Drosophila melanogaster: one gene and its partners. The protein of the gene in region 1 interacts with the protein of each later gene in a pairwise test. Each region holds a gene or a part of one and is shown on either strand. Other genes may lie near its edges.

Region 1 (6,707 bases):
GCTCGGCTACAGGCTTGCGTGATTGAGGGGGAGGGGGTACCGGATTGGATTTATGGTCATTACGTTGGCAAGCGCAGGTTGGACATGTGCACTTCTTAGCCGGAACCGTTGGGTGAGGCACGGACCTTGGCTCCCCATCTTGGTTTAACGATCCCGAGTTGCGGGCTCTGTCTTCGTTACTTGCGTTACTGTTGGTGAACGAGGTAAGCGGTGCAACCCAGGACTTCTTTTCCATTTGGTTTAAATATATACAATTTTTTCACTTGGTACAATTTTTACTAATATTGTCAAATAAATAAAATAAATGGGGCAGAAGTTTATGGAAAGACTAAGGTGATGACTGAGAATGATATAGGATTTTAGATTATGCTTTTCAATATATTCCCATTTTCTTAGCTTTCATATAGTCAAGTATGTTTATATAATGAAGGTTTAAAATTCAAAAAAATATTTTAACTTATTATCTTTTTATCGAGTTGACACATTTTTAATATCCATTCTGCTGCCAGTGAAATTCACTTTCAATTACATTAAATGTATTTGTTGTTGCACTTTATTCGTACATTTAATATTTCATACTTTAAATATTTACATAAATTTAACAAACAAACAGGGAGAAAACATGACTTTTTTCACAAATAAACAAGAATTTCCATTCATTAAACAATAATACTATTTATGCATGCATTTGTATTTGTGTCTTTTATGTATGTGTTGTGTGTGCGCCAGTGTCCGTGTACTTTTATTCAAGTGTATGTTGGTGTTGTTGTTGTAAATGGAAGTACATAGCAGGACGTTGTAGTTGCTGTTGCCTAGAGTTGCCCTTCAAGGGGCGGAGGGGGCGTGGTTAGGGGAAAGTATTAACCGCAGGCCGGAATGTTTACATCTCTCGCAGGCACCAAGAAGTTGTGGTATTTGTTGGACTTTTGTTTTTCATCGAATGCAGCACGGAATTGTTGGTGTTTGATTAGGCTTTTTCGGATGGTTTTTGACTGCTTTCATTTTTAAACGTTAACTATATAACAAATATAAGATTAGAGTGTAAAAGTAGGGCCAGCGCGGTCTCTAGTCCTCCAGATTTCTGAAGGCCTGCTGCAGGTCCTCGTGCAGCTGCTCGAAGTCAGCCTTGATCTTGGCCTCACCATCCTTAACGGGGTCCTGAAATGGATTGAAAAATGTGGTCACCCAGTGTCTAGGCAATGGATAAATTTGCGTGTTAACCCACCTTGAACTTCATGGATGACAGCTGGTACATAATGTTGCCCATTGCCTCACGAATCACGTTCCAGGTGATCTTGTTCTCAGACTGAGCCGTAGACTCCACGGAGTGACGGGCCATGTCGTAGAAGTCGATGATGTTCCTCAACATGCCCACGGTCTTGTAGAAGGGGCAGAAGCGATCGTACGAGGAGTAGGAGTTCTGCTGCAGGAAATCGTCCTTCAGCAGCTTGGCCACCTCCAGCGTGATCTTGTCGGTTTCGGCCAGAGAGGCCTTGCCGACCAGTTGCACGATCTCAGACAGATCCTCCTCCTCCTGCAGGATCTCCTTGACCTTGGTACGCAGCGGCACGAATTCGGGGAAGTTCTTGTCATAGAAGTCATCCAGAGCACGCATGTACTTCGAGTAGGAGATGAGCCAGTTGATCGAGGGGAAGTGCTTGCGCTGGGCCAACTTCTTGTCGAGACCCCAGAACACCTGCACGATACCCAGAGTGGCGGAGGTCACGGGATCGGAGAAGTCACCACCAGGAGGAGACACAGCTCCGACAATGGACACGGATCCCTCGCGCTCGGGGTTACCCAAGCACTTAACGCGACCGGCACGCTCGTAGAAGGAGGCCAGACGGGCTCCCAAGTAGGCTGGGTAGCCGGAATCGGCAGGCATCTCAGCGAGACGACCAGAAATTTCACGAAGAGCCTCAGCCCAACGGGAGGTGGAATCAGCCATCATGGACACGTTGTAACCCATATCACGGAAGTATTCGGACAAGGTGATACCAGTGTAGATGGAGGCCTCACGAGCAGCCACAGGCATGTTGGAGGTGTTGGCCACAAGGGCGGTACGCTTCATGATGGACTCGGTGACACCGTCGATCTCCACGGACAGCTCGGGGAAGTCACGCAGTACCTCAGACATCTCGTTACCACGCTCACCGCAACCGACGTAGATGATGACATCGGAGTTGGAGTACTTGGACAGAGCCTGCAAGCAAGTAAATGATTTATTAGGGATTGTATTTTTATGAAACTTGAGTGTATGGAGGCTACACGAGGCATCGCTCCTTAAATTCTCAATTTGTGGGACTCTCACCTGCGAGATCACAGTCTTGCCGCAACCGAAAGCTCCGGGAATGGCGGTGGTACCGCCCTGGACACAGGGGAAGAGCGAGTCGAGCACACGCTGTCCGGTGAGCAGGGGGTGGTTGGCGGGCAGCTTCTCGGTCACGGGACGTGGCTGACGCACTGGCCACACCTGCAACATGGTGTGCTTGGTGATCTCTCCATCGAACTCGGTCTCCAGGACGACATCGTCGACCTTGTAGTTGCCGGAGGGGGCGATGTAGCGCACTGTTCCCTTGGCGCGGGGGTTCACAATCATCTTGTGCTTGACCAGAGTGTTCTCATGCACCAGACCGTACAGGTCACCTCCGGTGATGTGGGAGCCGACCTTGACGTTCAGGGGGTTGAACTCCCAGCTGGCCACGCGGGACAAACTGGGCACGTTCACACCCTTGGGGATGTAGATGGATTCGGTCAGCTCGTTAATGTCCTTCAGGGGACGCTGGATACCGTCAAAGATGCTGCCCATGATACCGGGTCCCAGCTCCACGGAAAGAGGCTTGCCGGTACGCAGCACCGGATCTCCGACAGTTACGCCAGAGGTCTCCTCGTACACCTGGATGGTGGCCATGTCACCCTCCAGACGGATGATCTCGCCCACCAGCTCGTAGTAGCCGACGCGGACCAACTCGTACATAGCTGATCCAGACATGGCCTCGGCGGTGACGACTGGAATGAAGCGGTTGGTCGGGTTAGGGGGGCTACATTTCATTCAAGAAGTTTTTATAACTCAGCAAACGAAGATAGGTTCCATTGAACATTTTCTTTTAAAATTTTTTATTATTAATGATACTTGATGATGTTTTTGTTAGAATTATAGAAAAAAGTTTAAAGAAACAATTAATTAATTATTAAAATTATTCACATTTAATTTTGAATAATGAAACCAAAATGTTTGAGTTGTTTGAATATTAATCACAAATAGGTGGACACATTTCTAAAGTTGCCATTATTTCACACAGAAGTGTAAGTTCTAGACTAATCATCAAAGTAAGGTTTCCAGTTCACAGGTATTATTAACTTATTTTTATTAACTTTTAGATAGCATGAGTTATGGTTAGTCAGTATAGTTAGGTGCTTACCAGGACCGGAGACAGCGAAGACACGTCCATATTTGGACTCACGCTCCTCATCATCGAAACGCTTAAGGTTGGACATTTTGCTTTATTCTGTTTTTTCGACTGCAATGGAGGGAAAATAGAAGAGGAAAATTGTTAAATGCTGGCTGCAAAAGGGCGAAGATAAAGGTGAACATTTTCTTATCACTAATTTCTTGCTCAGCCCTCTGTCAGCTGACAAGGGGCAGGTGTATCTGCTACATTTACAGGTTAAGTTTTTGTAGAGCCCACAGCTCCCAAATTTTTCGATTATAGGTTATAAAGTTGTAGGTTAGCAGCTAATAATTTCGATTGATTTAATTATTTTTTTTTTAACTCCCCCTCTTTGATTATGCTGCGTAAAACTTTAAAAGCAGAGCTTTCGTTTCACGTGACAGAGCTTTGAAAGTTCGAAGAGAGCAATTTGTCAAACTAATCGCTAAATAAATAAAATAAGAGCTGTGAAAAAACAACCACAGGTTGACAAATTCAACGGAGGAATGTAACTGAAATGCATGTTTTTCAAAATATGCGGGTTTTCATAATTATCAGCAAAGAAAAACAAGAGAGGGTGGAGTGGGAGAGCAACTCTCCGCTCTGGCTCTCTCGCTCTCCATTCGAGTTCGAATATTTGACAATTGCTTTTGACGTTGATCACAAGACTACTGTCATTGCCGTCAGCTGACAAATGAAAAAAAAGTGGGTAAGGGAAATGGTAAAAATCTTTGGGCCGCCTTTTTTACGTCGCTCGTTCTCCATATTGGTTTTTCATTATCGGAATACGAATAACTCCCACTTCTGTTTCGAGTTTCGAAATGGGAGAGCAAGCGAGCGCAAGAGCGGCGGCGATCACAAGACCCGCGGTGCGACAGGGATGGAGCGAACACGGGGAAGGGGGTCAGCTGACAAGGCAAAATAATTTTCCACGCGCAAATTTTCACGTTTTCATACCGCACTTTTTCAAGCTCCTTGGAAAACTAATTGATATTCGGCTTTTTTAGGGATTATTTTACTCAAGTGTGGACTTGTGCTGCACTTATTATCTAACACACTTGCAGTCTGTGTGCGTGTTTTCGCTCTGCGCTTTGATCGCTGCTTCGTCACTTTTTCGGGGCGAATTCAAGACGGATTTCAATGCCGCTTTCTTTCGCTAATTGTTTAAATCGCCCAGAACCGTCTTCCAGCCATTCCATTATTTATTGTTACTTATTTGCTTTGGGTGGGTGTGTGTGTTGGTGGGGGGGAAGGGCTTACTTTGCTGTGTCTTCGCGTTCACCTTGCGAACGTGTGATTGCTGCTTTTCTCCAACAGAACGAACTAAAACCGACTGAGCCGCAGAAATAAAACGTCGACGCTCGCACTTCGAAAAGCTCTCTACCGCGATTCGATTTCGATTTCGACCCGTGTGATCGCGAGCTTTCCGCGGCGAGCTTGCAAGCGAAGTTGTGAGCTGATATCGAGTGCGAGCGAAGCTTTCGCCAATCGATGTGCGGAAGCGAGATGGAGCGAAAGAGAGCTAAAGAGCGGGTGGGGTCACACTGGCTTAAAGAAGTTCGTGGGTTGATTCTGAAGTTTTGGGAGTAAACGGGATCTTTTCAAAGTTGCTAATATCCAATTATTTTAAGTCCATTTTAAGTCCTCGATGATCAATCGGTCCAAATTAAACAATCATTTTCTTAGCTGCTTATAAAATCAATAATTAATTTGACACTGTATAAACGAGGAATATATAGCTTAAATACAAAACCTGCCATTGTATAGTGTTAAGTGCTCTCAATAAAAATGGCAATCAATTAGATTCCCATTTAAATGTCCAAAAAATGCAATTTTAAACTAATCAATTGTGGAAATTGGCCGGTGCGAGGGTAGACTAATAAGTTCACTAAAGCGCAACAACACGCCGTTAGCAATTATTTTAAAATGTTTATTTATCGTCGTTTCCCCTTTTTTTTTTATTACCATTTTAAGTAAAAAAAAGAAACTGACAGCGGTGGCAAAAACTTTGATTAAAATCCGCATCGTAAAAAGGTATTTGCCAATGATTTAAGTTTTTGCTGCCCTGCCCCTTTGTTTTTTATCCATTATTCTATCTTCCGTTCTTCTAGTTAGGATTCCACGCTTTCCCCACTTTTTTTTTGTGCTGTAGTAATCAATGAGAATGGAGCAGCGAAAAAGTTAAGATTAACCCGATCAGATTGTTTTTATGCTCTTGCGAATATACTTTTTTAACATAAAATAAATAGCACAATATGCAGCGATTATCAGATTTCTTTAAGTGGATTCTCCTTATTTAAAGAGGAAAACGAATGTGCTAATTGAAAATATTGAGAAATTCGCATAACCAAACTATATGTTTATAAGAAGTTTAATGTTTATATAACTTAACCATTTAATTTGTTTTTTATTATATTATTATCTTAGATATTTTACATGTGAGTGTAACAACATAATTGTACTTCTTTTAAATCATAATATGGCTAGAAAACCTCATTTAAATATTTTAGTTCTTGAGTCCATGCTAGTTTTTTTTTCAGTGTCGCTGCACTCAGCTTGATTTAGCTAAATTTTCGGATTGCAGTCAGCAAAAGTGGCAACTACAACGCAAAGCCATGCTAACATAGAAGTCGAACAGCGAAAGCCTCTATGTTCCCGAGATGCGAAGGATACGAAGGACACGCCAGGGGCAGAGGGTAGGTGTGTGAGTTCTGGCTCCCGCTCTTTGCATAACTTATAAATCGATGACGTTGGCAGGCAGCGAGAGCGCATCTCGAGTCGCAGCATTTGCATAATAAGGCAGCAGTGCATGTGGCATGAGGATCTGCCTGCGATTCATTGCAAATTTCTATCAGCCCTGTGAACGGGGATTCCCCTCACTGCAGATGTATGCGTATGTGTGTGAGAGTGTGTGTGTGTGAGTGATTGAGTGACTGAGTGTTTCGGATTCTGATTCGGTGTCAAAATGGCGCAGAAAAGTGCTCGACTGACTCTGCTGAGTGCAGAGCGCCAAAGTGGAATGAATTTGACACATCGAAACTGGGATATGCACCCTTATCCACTCGATTCCTGGGCCACTTTCCAGTGTTTTTCATAGTATGTCAGTGTCCTGGATAAAATCTTTGTCGTGTTTATCACAAATATGTATGCATTGAAATCAGCATTTTTGGCAACATTTTAGTGTGAAAAACTTCTAAGATGTATTCTTGTAGCATCGAAAACTTCGATTGTTAGACCATTTCATTAAACAGAAATGCAATTCTATTTCCAAAAAGC
Region 2 (7,618 bases), on another chromosome or scaffold:
ACACATTTTTAAAAAGTTAATTATGATTTTTATACAGATCCTCCAGAGCTTTTCCATCACCTGCACGCTGACAACCACTACCGTAATGAGTAGGAATAGAAAGAAAGAAAGGCTGCCTTTGGAAAAAATTTCCAGCGGATGTGGTGCGCGTCATGCGCGTCATGTGCGCGCCAGACGTGCAACATGCAAAAACACGTTCGCCTCTGCATTTGCTATCGATAACCGATAGCCACTGGCTGACCACACATACATCCCATACACCGCTGCCATTGACCGTTTTGTTTCGATCTTATTAGATTTATTTGTTATTTTGGGTTTTTTTTTTGCTTTTTTTTTGCTAATTTAAAAAATTAATAGTTAATACATACAACTACTTAGTGCTCTGTTTACGCGCTACATATTCTGGATTAGGTTTAGTTGGATCTCCACCATCGATCGTAGTTATCTTTTTATTTTAGCTGCATTTCTTCGATTTTCAGTGGCTTTCGGGGCGTCACAGTGTTTCATTTCATTTAGCTTTCTGGGTTTCCGGTGGACTTTTGTGCCTGCCAGGCATCCGTATTGCACTTGATCCTTGATCTCCGCTTACTCTGACTTTTTACAAAATCTACCATTGAAGTACATTAACACTTTAAAAAACAGATTAAAAAAAAATATACGCTTATTGATAACTATAGACAATCCCTACTGTTCGCAGATATCTCCATCGTTTGTGCGTCCAACGCCTGATATTCCGGCGGAAATGGAGGCCTGGCTAGCACGTCATCCACACATATCCCTTCTAGCGATTGGTGCTGCGACTGTGACGCCTCCGCGAACCTCATTTGGTCTTCATCACAATGATTGGCTCGAGTATCTTTAGCATGTCATTGTTTTCGGGTGCTCCCGTTCCACTGCCGCCGCCAGAACCAGCAGCTCCTCCTCCGCCTCCACCGCCGGCTGCATTTGCATAATCCTTGACCGTCTGCAGTTTACTGAAGCCAGGATGCTGCTGCTGATGGAGCTGCTGCTGCTGGTGCTGACTGATGGTCACCAGGCGGTGCTGCTGGTTCAACACAATCGCCTCGTGATGCGGATGCGGCACCAAATGTTGCTGCTGAAGGCTGCCGGCAATCTGCTGCAGCTCATGCTGCTGCAATTGCAGCGCCGGCAACTGTTCGTGATCGTTGGAGCCATCGCCACCGCCCAATGGTGAATCGTCGTTGTCGGCCTTCACCACCGAAACGAAGCCACCATCACTGCCCGTGCCAGTGACCGAAACGGCTTCACTTTCGTACATATGATGCTCGGCACTGGTGTCATCGTCCTGGCACTCATCTTCTTCCTCGGTTTTGGCACGGAACTCGGTGCTGGTGGCGCTGCTGCTGCGCGGCGTGTGGCTGCGCATGCGTCGCATTCGCGCATATTCCGCCTGCTTGGACAGTCGCTCCTTGCGCTCGTCCGTATTCTCGGTGGCTCGGATCTGGGCCCGCTTCAGTCGTGCCCGTTCGCTCAGCTTCTGTAGACGCGTGGCCCGCTGCTCGGGCGTCTCATTGGCACGCACCGCTCGCTGGTGTGCGGCCATCTTGTCCAAACGTATTCGCTTCTCCTCCTCCGTCTCGTATTTGTTAGCACCGCTGCGTCGCGGCGTCAACACTGGCGTTCGACTGTCGCCATCGGCCGTGGAATGTACATGAATCTGGCTGAGCTCCTGATGATGTTGCTGCGATGCCTGCGACAGTGGCCTGCCGCGACGCGGCGTACTGGTGGCCAGCTGCGGTGCGGACAGCATCTGATTGAGCTCCTGCTCCAGCAGACTGTTCACCTTTAGCTGCTCCTCGCTGGGCAACGGATTCTTTCGCGGCCTGCCCCTGCCAACAGGTGTGGTCACAATTTGTGGCGCCGCCGCCGACGACGCGCCTGTCTGTTGTTGCTCCTGCTGTCCCAATCCAGTGACCGTTAGCGTTGGATTCGCCGCCAGTATGTTATACTGTCCGGGACTATTGCCACCACTGGCGTTGGCAAAGTTGACGGGCGTAAACGGCGGCGGCACTGCATTCGGCCCGATGCCAATCTGGAAGCCATTGTGGTACATTGGATAGTAGGCGGTGGTGGTTGTACCGCCGGCGCCCGTTGTTGTACCCGCCGTTACCACGCCCACGTGTCCGACATTGGTGGTACTGGTGGTGCTGTTGCCGCTGCTGGTGGTGTTAGGGAAGGTGGCCAGGTAGGGGAATTGATTATACAGCTGCTGCGCCTGGCCGGGCGTCGCCTTAAGCAGCTTCTGTTCCCCGCTGGCCGTCGTCACGATCACCTTGGTCTCGTTGTGGCCGAGGCTAACAGACCCGCTGTTATCATTGCCGCCCGCTGATACCGTAGCATCGTTGTCCGACTGCAAGAAGGGATAGAAGGGATTGGCAAGCCAACGGGTGAGTCGGTTTGATTCTGCGGGTTATGGGACTATCGGTTTGGAATTCTGGTATAAATCTTAATCTTCGCAATCACAGCAATCTTCGGTAATTGAATTTTACAAATCATTGCAACCTAATTTCGTAATTTGAGTGATAAGATTGATTGATGTGATTGAAGGTGGTCTTATAGATTGGTTTTCGAAAAGAACCGAGTGCGAGTGATAGAGCGAAAGGGATAGATGGAGGACACACACACACACACACACGAACGCACACCTGTACAAGGGAATTAAAACCACTTTTTGTTTGTTTCTGGTTGGTAAAAGTATTTTGTTCTTAGGTTCAAGATTTACATTGCTACATATATCTACACTCTATACGATTGATTAATTCATTTGCTTCTGACCAAAAAAAAGAACTAACACAAGTAATATGAACAACGAACAATAATGTTAACTGAAATAAACTTATACGATTTTCGCTTTTGATCAAAAGAGGAGTTAAAATGCGGGTAAGGCAACGCGCAAAAAAAAAGAGAGGTCCATTGGCCGCTTCTTCTGCCAATTTCCATTGAATTCTATATATTTTCAAAATTCCTACTTTCCGGTTTCAAGCATTTTCCTTTGAGGCAGTTGATTTCGCCAACTGCAAGGAAAATATTTGAAATTTACGAGTATTGGCAATTGTTTGATATTTTACCAGCGCTACGAATTTGTATTCGATTCCAAATTCCTCTGCAACTGTAAAAATCATTTATTGTTATTATTCAGGAATCAAGCTAAATTAGGCTAATCATGTTTTGATTTTACGTTTACTGGAAGTAGATAGTGCCCTTTTTTTCTAATACCGATTAGATTTCAAATAAATAGTGTTTCTAGATAACAAATTACATTGATGGATTCATGGGCAAGATGAGGTTCCTGGAGGATGCCAAACTTTAGTTTTGCTGCGTTACTTTGTGTGTGTGTGCGTGATTTAGTTGCTATCGCCGATCATTCTTGCTATCTACTACGCCTACTGCATACGCACCTGAAGTTCCTGCTTCTTGGCAGCATATTTGTGCGGGTAGAGTTCCAGCTGGCCACCGGCGATGCTGAAGTGCGGCACATGGGCCTGGAGCAGCTTTGCGGTGCCCTTGCCACCCTCATCGCCATAGATCTGCTGCACAAAGATGCTGCCCGGCTCGGTGCCCTCGAGCAGAGCAGCCGTAACCTGTTGCTGCTGCTGTCCGGTGATGGTGTATCGCTGATGCTGCTGCTGCAGCTGCTGCTGTGTAATCTGCTGCTGCTGCGGCGTCTGTGGCTCCTGCTTCAGTTGCATGGGTGGACGTAGGGAGCCGGGCGCCAGAAACATGCCCTGTCCCATATACTCCACTCCGGCCAGGGCCTGGTGTTGCTGATAGGCGGCTGCTGTCACCAGATGCTGCTGATCCTCCGCGGGCTGCGGGGTGCCTGCCTCGTCCGTTGTCGTCGTCGTCGCTGTGGTGGTCGCCTGGTTTAGATTGATAGTGTGTTCGTTAGTACAATTGGCTGCCGCCGCTGCTGCGGCTGCTGCTGCAACAGCCAGCACCTGCTGCTGTTGTTGCTGCTGCTGTTGTTGCTGCTGTTGCTGCTGCTGCTGCTGGTGGTGGTGCTGCTGGTCCGTTGACGACGAGGAGGATGTCGGCGTTGAGACGACCACCGACGACGAACCACCGTGCACCACAACATGCTTCAGTACCTTCTTCTTTTCTCTGACCTTTTTGGCATAATCGTTCAGCTTTCTCAGTCTTTCCTTCCGCTCCTCCGGTGACTCATTGGCGATCCTTTGGCGCGCCCTTGCCGCCATTTCTGCCAGCCGGAGCTTTCGCTGATCGTTCGTCTCGCTGGCGCGATACATGCGCATCCTTTCGGCCAATTTGGCCAGCCGTTTGGCCCTCTGGTCCGGCGACTCCATGGCCCGGCGTAGCCGTTGCCTGGCCGCATTCCTCACTAGCCGCATGGCCCGCTCTATGTCGGATTCATTCTGGCGTCTCTGGCGATTGGCTTCTGCATTCCGGAGTAGTCGCTTGCGATACTCCTCCTCGCTCTCGCGCTGCCGGCGTTCCCGCATCCTTTCAGCATTTCTGGCCAGACGGCGCTGGCGTGCCTCGGGGCTCTCGTTCCACCTCTGCTGGTGGCCAGTGGTGGAGGCACCTGTTATGGATGCGGAACTGGCACTGCTGGTGGGTCCCAATGGAGTGGGTGGCTGCTGCGATTGCTGCTGCTGCAATTGCTGTTGCTTCAGTGGTGCATAAAGCTGGAGATGCTGTTGCTGGAACTGCAGTTGATCCTGTTGCTGCTGGTGAAGATGTTGCTGCTGGAACTGTTGCTGTTGTTGCTGATGCTGCTGCTGCTGTTGTTGATGTTGCTGCTGTACGTGCTGCTGCTGTTGTTGCTGCTGTTGCAATTGCAGCTGGTGATGCGAGGAGAGTGGTACCAACAAAGCTGAGGGATGCTCGATGAGCAGGCGGGCATTGGAGCCATTGATGGCCAGCACATGGGTGGCGTACTGCTGCTGATCAAGTGAGGGCTCTATTTTTATCCCATTGGGATCTGGTTCCATTCTTGGTCAAAAGCCGGGGCAACAACAATCGAAATTGTCGTCTATCGGGGCTCCAAAAGTGTACTGTTTGTTATGTATATATATATATTTATATATATATTTATAGATATATATCTATATATGTGTATATAGACGATGGGTATTTGGTTATCGAAAGGATGAGCGCAGTCCTTCCGATTGTTTCGATAACATCTAGGGGCCGCGCTCTTGCTCGCCCCCTCTCTTTCGCACGCTCTGGGCCGTCTCCCGCTCTTTTTTTCGTCCGCTGCTCCTTGGCGTTTCCTCTTTGTGTTTGTTTTGTTTCGCTTTTTGCTTACTAGTAGTTATATAAAGAATATGTGTGTGCTGGCGCCGTTTCTCTCTCGCACTCTATTTTTGCGGCGATCACTCCGCTATTGTTATTGTGGTCCTCGGGCATTTCTTTCGTTCCCTTTTTGGCTATGAGCGGTATTCTTCTTCTCCATTTTTAGCATTATGCACTTTATTACCGTTCGTATTTGGCCATTACAATTTTTCGTGCGTTTTCATAAAAGCGTGCTTCTTCTTGCGAGTCAGTGACAATTGGCGCCGCCGCCGCGCTGCTTCTGCGCTGCCAATCGATTTTTCACATGATTATACACACACACCCATGCAGCCGCCGTCCGCACACACAAGCACGCACTGCTAAACACACACACACACACGCGCAACGAAGCAATACGCAACGTACGTGTGTGCGAGTTTTTTTCCGCTCCTTATTTTGCTTTTTGCACAAACCTTAACCCTTTGATTTGTAATTCCATTTATTCGCCGTGCTGCGGTGCATCCAGGCGCCTTTTCTCTTGGTGGGTTAAAAGGATGTTCTGTGGCGGCGCAGCGTTAACTTAACTACCGGGAATTTTCCACATAGCTGGGACCAGCGTATATCTGCCACTTCCGATCGCACCGTAATGTCATTAACTTGAAGTATGCGTACTTGTTCGCAATCCGTGGTACTGTATCTTTAATTTAATTTAATTCATCTTATTTCAGTTGTTTTCATTTCAACAATCGTTCTGTTCACAGTAGGGATGGTAAAAAGTATCGATACATCGATAGTTGAGCAGGCTGTCGATTCATTGGAAAATGCAACTGATTAACCGATGTTCCGCTTGAAATATCGCCCGGGTTTATTTTACAATTTGGAAATTAGTCTTGCAGGCAGATAATATTTATATTATTATTTGGCTGCAGTTTTGCAGTACCATATTACAGAATATATGTACTATTTTTCCATACTTAATGTTATAGTTAGATCAGCTTGTCGATAGCTTGATGTTTGAAATCGATTTTTTAAAAATCAAGCGTAACGTCAAGACATGGATAATTCTATTTCAATTGTAACAAATTTTCGCCTCTTGGCCACACTGTTTTAAAGCTTACTTTACATAACAATCAACTATGTTATGTTATGTTAACAGGGCATTAACATTCCAAAGCTTTCAAATCTTTTTGAAATGAATAAATGCGATTTATAAAAGTGAATTAAACTATTTATATAAAATTAGAAACTATATTATTTCCAATAAGAGCATTTCGTTGATAATCGTAGATAATCGTATATATAATAGGATTAGTTCAGTAGCATGTGCTGAATGGAGTTTGTAAATTATTTATATTTTATATTTAAATGTATTTTAGATGGGAGTTTTTAATTTGTTTAATTGCTGTGATACTTAAATGTACAACAAGCATACGGATGGCGATCCTGAGAATGGGACCCACCCTTCAGGTTCATCGAGGACATTCTGTCAGATTTGAAGGAAATTTTCAAAATTGTAGTGTTATTATCAACCATTCCTGATCATTTCCGGTTGATAACGCTTTTACTTTTTTTTAGATTATCACTATTCCCTATTAAATTCCCACCAAAGCTCAGAACGCAGCATTTAAAAATTGTGAATGCAACTTTATTCAAGTATATTCATTTTGTTATTCTCGTTTTTTTTCGCTTATATTTTTCTGTTTCTGTTTTCACTTTCTTGGTGTTGTGTTTTGTTTGTTGATTTTTCTTGTTGTGTGTTGTCATTGTTAGTGTACACGAATATTACAATACACAAAAATGTATCTCAATCTTATGTCTTAAGGCAAAAAACAATTGATAAACGTATTTAGACAGGAGAAAAACAATTTGAAATTTCGACTAGAACTTAATGGTTACACTTTATTAATAATAATTAGCATAATATATATATATACATATGTATATATATGTATATATAAATATATATCATGTATATATCATGTGGGCCCGCGCGGAAGGACATGGGCGTGGGAAGAGGCTGAGGATATGGATAAGGATAAGGTCTAGGAAAAGTGGGCGGTTGGATGTTGGCTGGGGAAGGGAGGAAGGATTGCGTGCTTTAACAAATATTGCGTTATGTGCCTGGCTACGGATCATGTGTGTATGCTCCAACTATATATGTATATATATATATATATATATATAAATTTGTATATATACATATATTTATGTGGGAGCTGCCGAGTGTGTGTATATTATCCTTATGTGAGTGGCGCTGTCCGTTTTGGGTTACATGCCTTTACCAACTTACACACACATATGGGGGTTGTTCGTCACTAGGGTGCCTCAGTTGTTGTGGAAAAATACGATTTTTGAATGTTAT
Region 3 (5,002 bases), on another chromosome or scaffold:
CGGGGGAGGGCCAGGGCAGCCTCAATCTGAGCATCAAGAACGAGGGCAAGGGAGGCGATATCAAGAGTCCCAGTCCTTCGATTGCTCCTTCGCAAATGGGCGGGCCCATGACGCTCTCCAATCTGGCCGAAGATCCCTTGCTCTACTGGCTCAAGTCGCAGCAGACCATGTTGGGTCTGAATCCCCTTTATCCGCCCACAATTCCCATGGGCGTGACCAGTCCCCCTATCAGATCTTCCACGCCGCAGCACATGAGTCAGTTGGCACAGACTCCGCCGATACCCTCGGCTCCGCTAACACCCTCGTCCACACCGTCGGGCAGTCTGGACGAGAAGAACGCGGCGTGGTACAACTGGTGCAAGGCGTTCGGTGCCAGTCTGCATACCCTGAATCCCAATGCCGCCACCTTGGCCGCCCTGCAAGCCAACCAACTGCAGCAGCAGGTGGCCACCACGGCCGCAGAGGGGGGATCCATGGGAGATCCCTCGAACATACTGTACTCCCATCTCACGAAAGAGACTGAGACGCCGTCGGTGAGAAGTTTGTCCTCCAACGAACAGAATCCCGAGGCTGACGAGGCCACCGAAACCGATCTCGATGGCGAAGTGGAGCCGGAGGCATCCGGGAAACCGGAGGATCTCTCAGCCGCCGGCAAAGTGATGACCCCTTCGCAAAGTCCCATTGCCCATTCATCAGGCAGCAGGAGTCCCGAACCAAAGGCGAAGACCAAAACCCCAGAGACCACGAATTCCACAAGCGAATGCAAGAAGATCCTAGACAATATGCTCTTCAAGATGGGCGGAATGGAGGCCACTGGTCCGTTGATGCCGGAACAGGGATCCTCCGAATCGGAGGGCAGCTTCCAGGACACCAGCAATCCGCATACGAACAACAACGATGTGAGCGCCAGCAATAACAATAACAATAATAACTCAAACAAAACGGACGAGGAGGAGAAGGCCAAGTATCTGGACTGCACGGCGGACGAGGATATCGAGGCCATCCGCCATGGCGAAAAGTTCCTGCAGTGGCTGGAGAATTGCAGCAATCCCCGCGTGACGGCCGTGCAGCTGATGCAACTTCGTTTCCTAATAGCCGCCATCAAGTCGGGCAACGAGACACCGATGATCGAGAAATCCGCTTTGCCGGAGGACAGCGAGGAGCACGCCGCGGAGGAGGAGGGCAGTGGGCGGGGCAAGAGTCGCCGTCGCAAATAGGAAAAGCCAAAGTTGGCGCCCACGGAGCCAGCCACGGATACAGAGATAGAGGATAGCCCAGACGGTGCTCTGCACGATGCAGAGCCAGGACCCGGTGTCCTGGCTACAGATGCAAATGCAGATACCGCCGAGGGCTCGACGAGGTGCCATGTCTATGCGCCGGCCGTCTACCGATCGTCGGCCACCCTACTCAGCTCCCTGTTCTTCCCTCCCTACGAATTTGTACATTGTGACCTCGACGATGACCCCGACGACTGCCAGATCACGGGCGAGTACCAGCAGTACGACGAACTGAGCTCCAGCAGTTAGACCACATGGTTCCACGCATCCGGAGGACTCCACTGAATTTATCTCCTAGCTGTGAAACCTATCGAGCATACTTTCAGTATCTTTCAATTCAATTCGAATCCACTCCATTGCATTGCATTGCATTGTATTAATTAATTAATCGTACGGTTAACGTGTATATATCGAGAAACTCTATTTGTAGCTATTATGCATTTCTTTTTGAACGGAAAGACAACCGACTCTGTTTTGTTAGTTTGTTTTTTCACCCAATGATGCATTCTAGAAAAATGTTATAGCCCTTAGTTTTTGTTACGAAAAAGAAAAAATACTTTTCGAACTGCAAGGTGTGTTGGCGCGAATGGCATGCATTTGATATCAAACGTTTTTAAATTTCGTATATTAATAACTATGGAAATGTGCTCAAAAGAATTTTCTTAATTCGGAATTAATGCGATATTTAAATAAAAACATTTACAAATTTAAATGTAATTTTAAATACATGTTCAATAAAAAATAATTAGATAATTTTTATGAAACTCTTAGAACTGTCGTCGTATTTACTTACCGCTGTCGTATTGGAGGGTCTAAGTGGTTTTTCATATATATCTACTAAAATACCTAAATGTTTTACTTTTATATTTACAAGTATAAATTGCCTTGGTCAAGTTATTGAACATTTTAGAACGCATAAACTTTTAAATATATTGCTACATGAGCTCGGAACATAAGAATAATGGATATGTGATTGGTTCAACTTTGCCATAATAGACTTACCAAATTTATGGGATCCTGCAGTGGCTCATACTGAATGAAATCGGCGACAAACTTGGCAATTTCCTCGACACTTGATATGAGTTGCGTGTAAATAAACGCCGTTGGCCTGATGGTGGTGCAAACGAATTTCTGTAAGTTGGTTAAGAGTGGCAATTTATCAAAACGCTGGCCACTAAAGGAGCAGATGGTGCTGACTTCACCTGTACTTTGCATTCGTTGGGCAGGGCCAAGACCATGGCTCGTCTCTTTGGGTAGCTGAGAACCAATTGCTTCCGGAAATTCTCAGCGTACAGCAGGAGCAACCGCTCCTTGGGCGAGAGGGTATAGTACGATGGAGGATAGCACTGGGGACTGTTTTCGAACTCCTCGACTGTTTCGGGAAAGGATAAATCGATCTTTCCGATATTGAGCGATGGTTCTCCTTCGGATAAACTAAATTCACTAGATCCCATTTCCTCCATTTCCGCCTCGAACTCGCCCTCCATTTCATCTGCAAAATCCGATTCCGAACCTTGCGAGCGCCTCTGCTCGTCGATTTCCTTGAACTTGGCGCTATAGCGACTCGGGTCGATGTTGCTCACCACCTTCTTGTACTTCTGAAACAGTACTTTCGGCATTTTGGCGTGGTTACAATTGCCGGCTCTTTAAAATAATAAACAAGAAACTTCGTTTCTATAACTACGGTGTTTGTAGAAAAATATATATTTTAACGGCTAGATGTGACAGAAATTGAAATATGTATTGTGTTGTGCTAGTCTGTTCATTGTAGCAAATAAAATATATAAAAATTGTAATTTGCTTAAAAAACTTTCGTAATTCTAATTAGTTTTGTGTGGGTTTCGCTTGAAATAACTTCTTATAAGAACGAACATTTCCTTCTTCCGGTTGAAAACTTTACTTTACATTACTTTACTTCCTGATTCTGGTTTGCGTCTGGGCTAAATAACCGTTGTACTGGTTTGTAACTGCTTTGGCATTAGATTTGAACTTCTTTACCCTGCTTCGTATATCAATTTCTACTGCTTTTTTCTCGGTTAAGTGTCTACATGTAAAATTGAAGTAGGGTAACAATTTTACCCAAAAGTCTTTTTGTAACGAACATTTTTAAAATAGAGCAAGCAGGTTGTGAATAGCATATGGCCATCACCTTTTAGCAAAAGAATAGTAGTAAGCTTCATGTCATGAAGAGAATAACTTTAAAATTGACATTAGTATTTTTAAAATAGTAGGTAAGCCCTTGAACGATTGATTACCTACTGCTTTTTAGCCTTGAATATTAAGGCATAGCTATATTTTAAGAAAATAAAAAACTATTTAATTTCCATTCATTTCGCTAGTCATTTTCAATTAGCTATTTTTTCAATAGCTATTTTCTATAAAATTTGATGGAATGTATCAAAGTTATATTTGTATTATAGCACAGAAGGCACAAAACTTCCCTACTTATAAATATTTGGTAAATTGTATGACAAGTCACATATTTTAAATGTGAAAAATTGATATAATATATAGAACTACTTCTTCACCTTGTGCATTTTTTGTTGATTTAATTTAAATAAAGCTAATTCCACATTCAACCTAATCTTTTCCCTGGTTACCTACATACATACATATGTATATTTCGACTAACTTTATTTATTGTCATTATGCATATTACATAATTACCCGTCGAAAACTCAATGCTGGTCTTCCGCAGCTGCAGTGGCAGCGACAGTGGCAATGGCTTACTTAGATGGCACATTTTTTAGGGACCACCCCCTTGTCTGCATGCACCACAAATTGCATTTGCATTATTTATATTGCATCAATAAAACCCGCATTCAGGAATAATTAGCGAGCGCAGAACTTGTCGATGAGCAGGAGCGGAGACCAGCGGATTGAGATCGGCGCAGTTGATCCGTTTATGGCTGGCGCTAGGATTTATTTGTACTTCCTTTCGCATTTGAAAGGCGAGCGTCTACCTGGTGAGCCTGGTGAGAGCGGTACATTCATGAAACCATTTGGCGCTTTTAAGCGACTCAATTACGCACTTTGATTCCCACATTGGCCGCTAGTAGTCGCCTGTCGTTGGGTGTCGCCTTGCTCTGCCTCGTCCAGCTTGGTCCTGTGGCAAGGACTGAGGACTGGACGCGGTCTACCTGGCCGCCGTCTGAGGCAAGATGCGTAAGCACTAATTTTTGTGTGCGCTCAGTTTGCCGTTTAATTGCCGCGGCTCGCGCTAAGTGTTCCCTAGAAAAACAAAGGCAGGCGCTGCGCGTCGGAGGTTCAATCAAGCACATGTCGTCCTGGGCTGACTCCTTGGCCAAAAGTGGTCCTTGCGCAGGCGCCCCGGATGTCTCGAGTGTCAAGCGCCTTTGCAGCCATTGTCTGATTATCGCAGCCACGCAACGCTGATGTGCGGTTATGTCAATTAACGCGGATGCGGATCAGTCCGAAAGGATCGAGGTATATAAGGGTAGCTACGCAGGAGCACAGGACATCACATTCGCCACAACCACCGAACGAAGCACATCGATCTGAAGATGCAGTTGGGAAAAGCTATCATTCTGATTTTGCTGGCGGCCATCCAGCAAAGCTGCCTGGCTCTCTACATCAAGAGCGCGGAGAAGAATCCAGCCAAGACTGGGCCCAAGGACGATTGGGGCGTCTTCAAGAACACACTCGGACTAAGCCAAGAAAAAGGTGGGTTGCGACTTAGATTAAAGCTCATTTTGAACTCTTCA

The links. Proteins that work in one complex are often made in the same cells at the same time.
Region 2: the proteins of Vha68-2 (region 1) and CG14442 interact in a two-hybrid assay, tested with the Drosophila melanogaster proteins (one large-scale study listed by BioGRID).
Region 3: the proteins of Vha68-2 (region 1) and lobo interact in a two-hybrid assay, tested with the Drosophila melanogaster proteins (one large-scale study listed by BioGRID).

Annotation. Positions count from the first base shown.
Region 1 is NT_033779.5:12,972,428-12,979,134, reverse strand, and holds Vha68-2 (vacuolar H[+] ATPase 68 kDa subunit 2), read right to left. Parts: upstream 4,814-6,707; 5' UTR 4,692-4,813; intron 4,514-4,691; exon of another isoform or gene 4,389-4,513; intron 3,950-4,388; exon of another isoform or gene 3,912-3,949; intron 3,734-3,911; exon of another isoform or gene 3,666-3,733; intron 3,522-3,665; 5' UTR 3,499-3,521; coding exon 3,423-3,498; intron 3,010-3,422; coding exon 2,312-3,009; intron 2,204-2,311; coding exon 1,226-2,203; intron 1,159-1,225; coding exon 1,066-1,158; 3' UTR 528-1,065; downstream 1-527. Other genes in the region: Vha68-3 (vacuolar H[+] ATPase 68kD subunit 3), read right to left, coding at 1-235. UniProt on the Drosophila melanogaster protein: Catalytic subunit of the V1 complex of vacuolar(H+)-ATPase (V-ATPase), a multisubunit enzyme composed of a peripheral complex (V1) that hydrolyzes ATP and a membrane integral complex (V0) that translocates protons.
Region 2 is NC_004354.4:6,688,984-6,696,601, forward strand, and holds CG14442 (uncharacterized protein), read right to left. Parts: upstream 6,019-7,618; 5' UTR 4,974-6,018; coding exon 3,420-4,973; intron 3,131-3,419; coding exon of another isoform or gene 3,095-3,130; exon of another isoform or gene 3,090-3,094; intron 3,036-3,089; exon of another isoform or gene 2,699-3,035; intron 2,372-2,698; coding exon 821-2,371; 3' UTR 313-820; downstream 1-312.
Region 3 is NT_033777.3:25,190,759-25,195,760, forward strand, and holds the start of lobo (lost boys), read right to left. Parts: upstream 3,019-5,002; 5' UTR 2,897-3,018; coding exon 2,480-2,896; intron 2,409-2,479; coding exon 2,280-2,408; intron 2,049-2,279; exon of another isoform or gene 1,527-2,048; coding exon of another isoform or gene 1-1,526. Other genes in the region: dan (distal antenna), read left to right, coding at 1-1,217; CG13653 (uncharacterized protein), read left to right, coding at 4,802-4,961. UniProt on the Drosophila melanogaster protein: Key component of the nexin-dynein regulatory complex (N-DRC), essential for N-DRC integrity. Involved in the regulation of flagellar motility. Involved in sperm motility. Required for the sperm to enter in the coiled storage seminal receptacle (SR) tubule.